Linked DNA regions of Oryctolagus cuniculus. The protein of the gene in region 1 purifies or fractionates together with the protein of each later gene. This does not show direct contact. Links are inferred from orthologs where the notes say so. Each region holds a gene or a part of one and is shown in the gene's direction. Other genes may lie near its edges.

Evidence for each region.
Region 2: the proteins of CDC25C (region 1) and SUFU purify together in Homo sapiens (affinity purification with mass spectrometry; 4 studies listed by BioGRID and IntAct, counting the BioPlex papers as one, with this or other methods). This does not show direct contact. The link is inferred for Oryctolagus cuniculus from reciprocal best matches to the Homo sapiens genes CDC25C and SUFU.

What each region holds. Positions count from the first base shown.
Region 1 is NC_091437.1:26,122,331-26,126,145, reverse strand, and holds part of CDC25C (M-phase inducer phosphatase 3), read left to right. Parts: intron 1-39; coding exon 40-129; intron 130-1,104; coding exon 1,105-1,203; intron 1,204-2,617; coding exon 2,618-2,776; intron 2,777-3,815. UniProt on the Homo sapiens protein: Functions as a dosage-dependent inducer in mitotic control. Tyrosine protein phosphatase required for progression of the cell cycle. When phosphorylated, highly effective in activating G2 cells into prophase.
Region 2 is NC_091446.1:27,383,327-27,387,141, reverse strand, and holds part of SUFU (suppressor of fused homolog), read left to right. Parts: intron 1-2,165; coding exon 2,166-2,322; intron 2,323-3,815. UniProt on the Homo sapiens protein: Negative regulator in the hedgehog/smoothened signaling pathway. Down-regulates GLI1-mediated transactivation of target genes. Down-regulates GLI2-mediated transactivation of target genes. Part of a corepressor complex that acts on DNA-bound GLI1.

The sequences.
Region 1 (3,815 bases):
TGGGCGTTCTGGATGTTCTCGGCAAGCAATCTCTTTTAGGCGCAGCTTCTTTGTAGCACTCCAAATGCTTTGGGCCATGGCCGCAGAAAGAAAGATGCAGTGTGTACCTCATCTACAAATCAAGAAAATGTGAGTGTTTAATGGAAACCTAAATGCATTAGCATTTCTTTGAGTGAAGCAACTCATTGGTATCATTGTGAGATGTGGAGCAGTTCATATGCTAGATAAGCCAACTGAATCAGTACAGGGAAACATTTAGTTTTTTTTTTTTTTTCTTTCTCATTGAGGTTTGGTCCTAGAAGAGAAACCTAGCTCAAAGTCCCCCATAGGAAGTTATCATCATTACTCATATTCATTTGCTGTGAGAACAAAAATGGCTGTTACTGTAATGTAAAGAACTGGGAATTTGTTTTTCTTTTAAAGGGATAGTTTAAGTTATATAATCTGTTCAGAGATTCTTTACATAGCTTTATATACAAATGTAGATTTCTTGATTTCTTCTTATTTTCCCCTTAGTCTAGCTTATGAGCCCCCATCCTAAGGAAGCCATGGCCTTCCCTGTCTAAGCCTTAGGACATCCTTCAGTTCCAAGTTGAAACTGGCCTCTCCAGAGCCCCCTAATCATGAAGATAATTCTCTACCTAATCCCTTCAACTAATCCCTTTTTCTAGCCATCTTTTTTTCTTTCCTGCTTCCCTTCCCCCAGGTCAGTATGCATAAAAGATAGATGCTGTTCTTTTCTTCCGTTGACTAAGATATGCCATGTTTCTGGCTATTCTAATCAGCTTTTTCTTGATTTTGTACTACCTTTCTAATCTCCCTTTATAATCACTCTTTAAAAATCTCACCATCCTCTCCCCAGGCAGGCTTCTTCCCCAATCCCCCCATTCATTTTGCTTGTGATCGTCAGATTAGTATCCGCCACAGTAAATCTGTGCCACACATCAAACTCAAACCATAATTTCAATCTTCAGGATATAGGGTCAGCCTTGATTACATTTAATGTGCTTCATGAAGATTATTCATGGTGTGATCAGATGAAATGTTTTTGGCAGGGCCCACTAGTACATCTCTTCCTCCTGCCAATGCATTTTCTTTATGTAGGCACGCAACACTTTGAAGCCTTCCCAGTGGCAGGCACCCAGGAACCTGAGGTTTCAAAAGAGACCAAGGGGGCCTTATGTGTCGCCCCTTTCTTTGCTGGTGAGTCTCTGAACATCATGCTTAAGGGTTTATTTAGGTAATAGGAGCTATGGGATGGCAGTTGTGGGGTTTATGACCTTTTTTTTTTCCTCAGATGACTTGGATGAGAAAAGGGATGGGAGAAGTAAAGTTTAAACAGTGAAAGAGAGAAGCCATGTGTCCTCTGACCTTTTCATTTGTTTAAATTTAAGGAGAGGTGGGGGTTTGTTGGAGCAGTTACGATGCCATTTGGTGTACCTGCCTCTCAAATTGTAGTGCCTGGATTTGAGTACCAGTTTCACTTCTTATTCCAACTTCTTGCTAATGCACACCCTTGTGGGGAACAATGATGGCTCAAGTAATTGGATTCCTGCCATCCACATGGGAGACCTGTATTGAGCTCTGGCTATTGCAGGCATTTGGGAAGCAGATGGGAGCCTGTGTCTCTCTGTATTTCAGAAAGTTCATAAAAATGCCTATAATGAAAAAACTGCATGGATTTAAAATTTTTTTGTACCAGAATAAACTTAATTCCATTCCCCTACAAATTTTTGAAATGTCCTAATAGCTATCCTGGTTGGTTTGGAATCTTATCTCATTGTAATTTTGATTTGCATTTCACAAATGATTATTTATGTTGAGCTGCTATGATCAATATACAATTAGCATTTATGATGTGCTTTCTTGACCATTGTGTATCTTCCTTGGGAAAATGTCTGAGTCCTGTTTGGGGTATTTTTTTTTTATTGTTCAGCTCTGAGATAATATTTTGATATTAAGCCCTAGTTGGATCTATAATTTGCAAATGTTTTCTTCCATTTTCTATGTTGTCTTTTCACGTTCTCAATTGTATTAGTATGTTTTTTTTTTTTTTAAAGATTTATTTGAAAGGCAGATTTACAGAGAAAGAGAGAGAGAGAAATAGAAAGATCTTAAATCTTCTGCTTCACTCTCCACATGGTCTTAATGGCTGGACCAGGCTGAAGTTAGGCCGAAGCCAGGATCCTAAAACTTCATCTGGTCTCATGTGGCTGGCAGGTGCCTAAGCATTTGGGACATCTGCTGCTGCTTTCCCAGGCACATTAGCAGGGAACTGGATCAGAAATGGAGCAGCTGGGACTCAAACTGATGCCTATATTATGAGATGCTTGTTTTGCAGTTGGCAGCTTAACCCACTCTATGATAATGCCATCCCCACCAGTGTCCTTTGATGCACACAAGTTTTTCATTTTGCTGAACACCAAGTTTTGGTGTCGGATCCAGGAAGTCATTCCCAAATCCAATGTCATTAAACTTTTCCATCTGTGTTTTCTTCTAAGAGGTTTAGTGTTTTAGCTCTTACACTTAAGCCTCTGATATATTTTGTGTTAATTTTTGTATACAGTGTAAGGTCAGGATCTTGAAGAGTTTTTAATGTTTTTCATATACTTGGCAGGACAATGGAGACTTGGTGGAAAGTGAGATGAATTATTTGGGCAGTCCCATTACTCTATTTCCAAAATTGGATAAAAATCCAGAAGCAGTAGAAGATAGGGCAGAAGAGATTTCAGATGAATTGATGGAATTTTCCTTGGAGGATCAAGAAGAGGGCAAGGTAAGGTGTTCTCTGATGATGTTTTGTATTCTTCACATTCCTTCATTCTTGAATAAAGAGTATTGTCTGTATTAATATGGTACAACCACTGTACCAAATGCTTAGGCTGTTGAGATCAAGAAGATGTGGCTTTTAGATTCTAAGAGTTCCCTGACTGATAGGGTGTCACATCACCATGTGACTATTTTGCTGGGTGGGCAGATTGCAGTTAGTAGTTTGAGTAGATCACCACAGATATCTTTTTAAGTAACAACTCCAGGATAATAGTAATAGGTGGAATGTACCTGACATGATTTTTCAGGTATCTTACAGTATCCTTCTTCTGTTTCCATTTATCTTTGACACATCACTGGAAGATACATATAGGGTCTGAACCTTATAGGCCATGGACATACTGATGCTTAAGAGCATTTGAAGGATTTTTCATTTTTGAATCTATTTCTTAGAAACAAATATGGATATGAATGTGGTTTTCTACATTTTTTGTATTTATTTGAAAGGCAGAATGATAGAGAGATAAGAGAGAGATCTTCTATCTGCTGGTTCACTCACCAAATGGCCACAATAGCTGGGGTTGGGCCAGAAGCCTGAAACTCCATCTGAAACTCCCATGTGTGTGACATGGGCCCTAATTTGGGCCATTTTCTACTGCCTTCCCAGACACATTAGTGGGTAGATGGATTGGTAGTGGCAGAGCAGCCAGGACTGGAGCCGGCTCTGATATGGCATCCTGGTGTTACAAGTGGTGGTATAACCTGCTGCACTACAATGCTGGCCCCTAAACATGTGTTCATTATACAAGACAAATATGGTATAGTGGTGTTGGAACACTTGGATTCTAGTTTTTCTCTTGTTTGCTAATATTGAAACCATTTGCAAGACAGTTAACCATTCTGTGGTTTAACTTATTTTATTATTCAGTGGAGAGCATAATAATGATCTACTCCTTCAATAGGATTGTTGTATATGTGACACAGTGTAAAAGCAGTTTGTGTGCTCACCTCTTTATCTCCCCCCCACCTGTTTCTCTCTCTCTCAC
Region 2 (3,815 bases), on another chromosome or scaffold:
GTCTTCAGACACGCAGGCCTGCAGCTGCCCCTCACAGTGGCCCACCTGGACAGCCTCACCGTCTTTAGTGTCCTAGAAGAAGCACTCATCAGCATGTGGATGGATTTTGAAAGACCCAGGAGCATGCCTGCTTTTGCTATGGCCTGCTCAGGGAGCAGGAGCAGCAGGCATCCTACCAGGTGCCTGCCATGGGCGTGGCTCCTGCTCCCCCTCCACCAGTTGCAGGGCAGTGCTGTCTCTGAACCTTTCCTTCTCTAAAGCTCTGGCAGGCCACAGGCAGCTGCCTTCTGGAGCAGGGCAGAGGTGGCAGATGGACACGCTGCCTGCAGTCCCCGGGTTCTCTACTGCACGCCTATGAGGGCTTGGGCATGAATCTTCATTCACAGATGATGCTCCTCTGTCTTCCTAGTGCCTTTAACACTGAAACTTTCAAGTTGTTGCCAACATCCTCTGTTATCTCTGCTTTAAGTTTGGTTTCCTTGTAGCTTCTGCTTATGCAAGAACCAGGAACCATGAAGGCTGAGCCCTTTGTCTGCAGCCTGGTCCTTTGAAATAGTAAGGCAAGCAACTTGTCCTTTGTCTGCATGCTAAGAATAGTTCTCTGTGGTCTGCAGGCTCTCGAGACCAGCCCGCAGGACCCAGAGCACCCAAGTGTCTGTCAAAGCAAGTAGGGAGCCATGGGAGAAGGATGCAGCTTGCTTTCCTAGTCTCTGTGGACCAGGTGTGAACTCCGCTGCGTTCCCTTATGCTGCCCTCAGGCCTGCTTTTGCTGTCAGTCCAGTTTAGAACTGCTCCTGTCCTTCAATCCAAGCTCTGCCACTAACAAGCTGTGTGCCTGACCCAGTCTCCTTATTTCTCTGGCTCTTAACTCTTTCTTTTCATTTATGAAGTAGGTACACTGGACCAGTTTAGCCAGGAGGTATCTAGTCTTAGCTCTTAGCTGGGTAAAGGGCTTCAGGGCAGCCAGTGGAGAGGGAGAAGCCCAGGCTCTCCCCTCAGCAAGAAGGGCTCACCTGCTGCTACCTGGAGGACCCAGAGCCATTCCCTGCTGCTAACCTCTCCCTACCAGAGCCCCAGCGTTGTCCAGGCTGATGGTGACACTGGGAAAGAGGAGGGAGTGCTTGATGGGAAGGAGGTGTCCTAGGCAGGGACACTTGTGATAAGTCCCAACAAATGAGAGCAGTTTCCCCCAGATAGCTCCCTGACTGGCCAGTTTGGTGCCCATGATGCCATAGCAGGGCAAGGGGTGCTGATGAGGGGAGTGGGAGCACACAGCCTTGCTGGCATGCTCAGTCACAGGAGCTTTATTTGGCCCAGATGGCTGTGGATGGGCAGGGTTGCTGGAGCCTTCTAGATGACCTTTAATCTAAAACCCAGCATCTCAGCACTGTATTTTGCCAGAAAATCCAAGGATGTTTTGAGTACGGCTCTTCCTCGAGGCCATTTGGAGAGTGTTTGGACTCAACAGTGCCAAGACCTGCACAGAGGCAGAGCCTCCTGGCAGGGGGTTGGGGGTGGAGTAGGGACACTGTCTATAGTTGGTCACTGTCCTCCAGGCCCTTGTTCGATCTAAGAGATGGAAAAGGAACTCTATCTAGTGTCTTTTGCAAAACAAGTTAGGGGTGGCAGCCAGGAGACACCAGGGCTTCTGCTATTGGGCACATCTCTGTACAGCTGCACCCTCTAGCTGTTGGAAGAGGAACTGCAGACATGGCCTCCCTCACCTGTAGCTGGCTTCCCCTCTGACTGCTGTAGCAGGAAAGAGTTCTTGAAGGATCAGGGAGGAGAGGAGGAAGAGAACCTTCTTCAAGGAAGTGGGTCCTGTCTTTGCCACATCAGCTTCACAGGCCAGCATGGAGTGGGTAGGGTCTGGGCTCTGAAAGAGGAGGGAAAACCATGGTCCTGGAAGGCTGATGGTGGAAAAGCAGCTCCCCTTGGCTTTTCCATTCCTCCTGGTTCCCCTGCAGCAGTGCAGGGGCCGGCAGAGACAGTCGCATGCGGGAACCAGGCAGCGCAGCAGCAGAAGCCTTGCGCTGCATCTGTTGCGTCCTCCTTGGCACCTATGAGGGCTTGACACGTGCTCTAAGCATGGGAGTGGGGAGGGCAGTGGTGACTGTGGGGCCCCAGTTCTCTGAAGGAACTCTGGCTCTTTGGATCTTTTCAAGCAGGAGCGAGTTGACAAAGGCATCGAGACAGACGGCTCTAACCTGAGTGGTGTCAGCGCCAAGTGTGCCTGGGATGACCTGAGCCGGCCCCCCGAGGATGATGAGGACAGCCGGAGCATCTGCATCGGCACACAGCCCCGGAGGCTCTCTGGCAAAGGTGGGGCCATGGCCCGGCCCCGCTCCTCCCCTTTTCCCTCTCCAGGATGAGTCTTTAACGAAAACAGCCTGTTCAATAGTTTCTTTACTGGCCTGAGTTAAGCAGCAAGTAAAGTCTTCCAGCAGGGTGGAATTAAGGGAGCTTTATTGGCCCATTTATAGCTCTTTCCTGCGTGTGTTGCAAATACACCACCAGCAGGGACCATTGTGTTTTACCTTCAGGTCTTGCGATCTAGGGTCACGGATGTGAGTGGAAGCATTAGAACAGTTACAGGAAAAGCCCATAGTCCACCCAAGTACAAGAGAACAAGCACGGCCACCCACAGAATTGACACAGGGCCCAGTTCTGGCCTGAAGACCATGCCAGCCCTGGCGATCAATCATGTGAGGCCCACTTGCAAATGACCCCCCGTCGCACTGTCCTGTAGTTACAGAGTAAGGGGCTGTGGGTGGGGCACCCTGTACCTCTTGAGTTTGCATGAGATTTTGGGAAGGAAGATGAGTGTCCTGTTGGAAGCTCCCTGTGCTGGTCTCAACTGCAGAAACAGTTGTGGCTTTTAGCAGAGGGTATCCCAATATCCCAAGCCAACTCCAAAGGCAAAGCAGCTATTTTGTGTACGTGTGTGTCTGGCTTCTTGGTCTACTTCCTTTCTCTGTTTTTTTTTTTTTTTTTCTGATTTTTTTGAAGAAAAAGATCCCTTCAGCCTTGAATAGCACCTGCCTATGTGCTAACACTTGTGAAAGGTTTTCTCTTTCTGAAAAGGACAACTTAAACCCCTAGTGCAAATATTTGACCATGTTTAATCCCTTTCTTTCCTTCCTGTGTACCACATCTGTGGGAGATTCAGAAAGAGAGCACCCAGTTACCAGAATCATTCTGTTGCTTTTGACAAAAGAGGAAACTTAAGGAGGGATCTATAATATTATCTCAGAATTTAATTGTTCTTGACTAGGTTTTAAAAATTATAAAGGTAACCCATGCCACTGTAGCCAAAAAGAAGCTTGTAACCATCCCCTCCCCACTCTGAGCATGGCCCTTTGAGCACCTGATGTCAGTTTGCTGTGTTGTATGTGTTTACAGTTTGCAGAGTAAGTCTTAGATCAAAATCTGGATGCAGGGGAAAAGATTAGTACACTTTGCCCCAAAGACCACAAAACACCTTACAAGAAATAATCCCACCAAGGGACTCCTTTCTCACCCTAGCTAGCTCATGGGAGGCCCAGTTGCCTGGGACAGACCAAGGAAGGGATATGACCTCAGCATTCCATGACCCCGGCCCTAGAGGAAAGGGCAGCAGGGCCAAACCTTAGGGGACCCCCAAGAACCCAACTGGGAGCCAGGCACCTCCTCCTGGTCTCCGATGTGGGTGTAAGGCTCAAGCACTTGGGCCATCCTCCACTGCCTTCCCGGGCCACAGCAGTGTGCTGCAGAGCAGAGAGCTGGGCTGGAAGAGGAGCAACTGGGACAGAATCCGGCCCCCCAACTGGGACTAG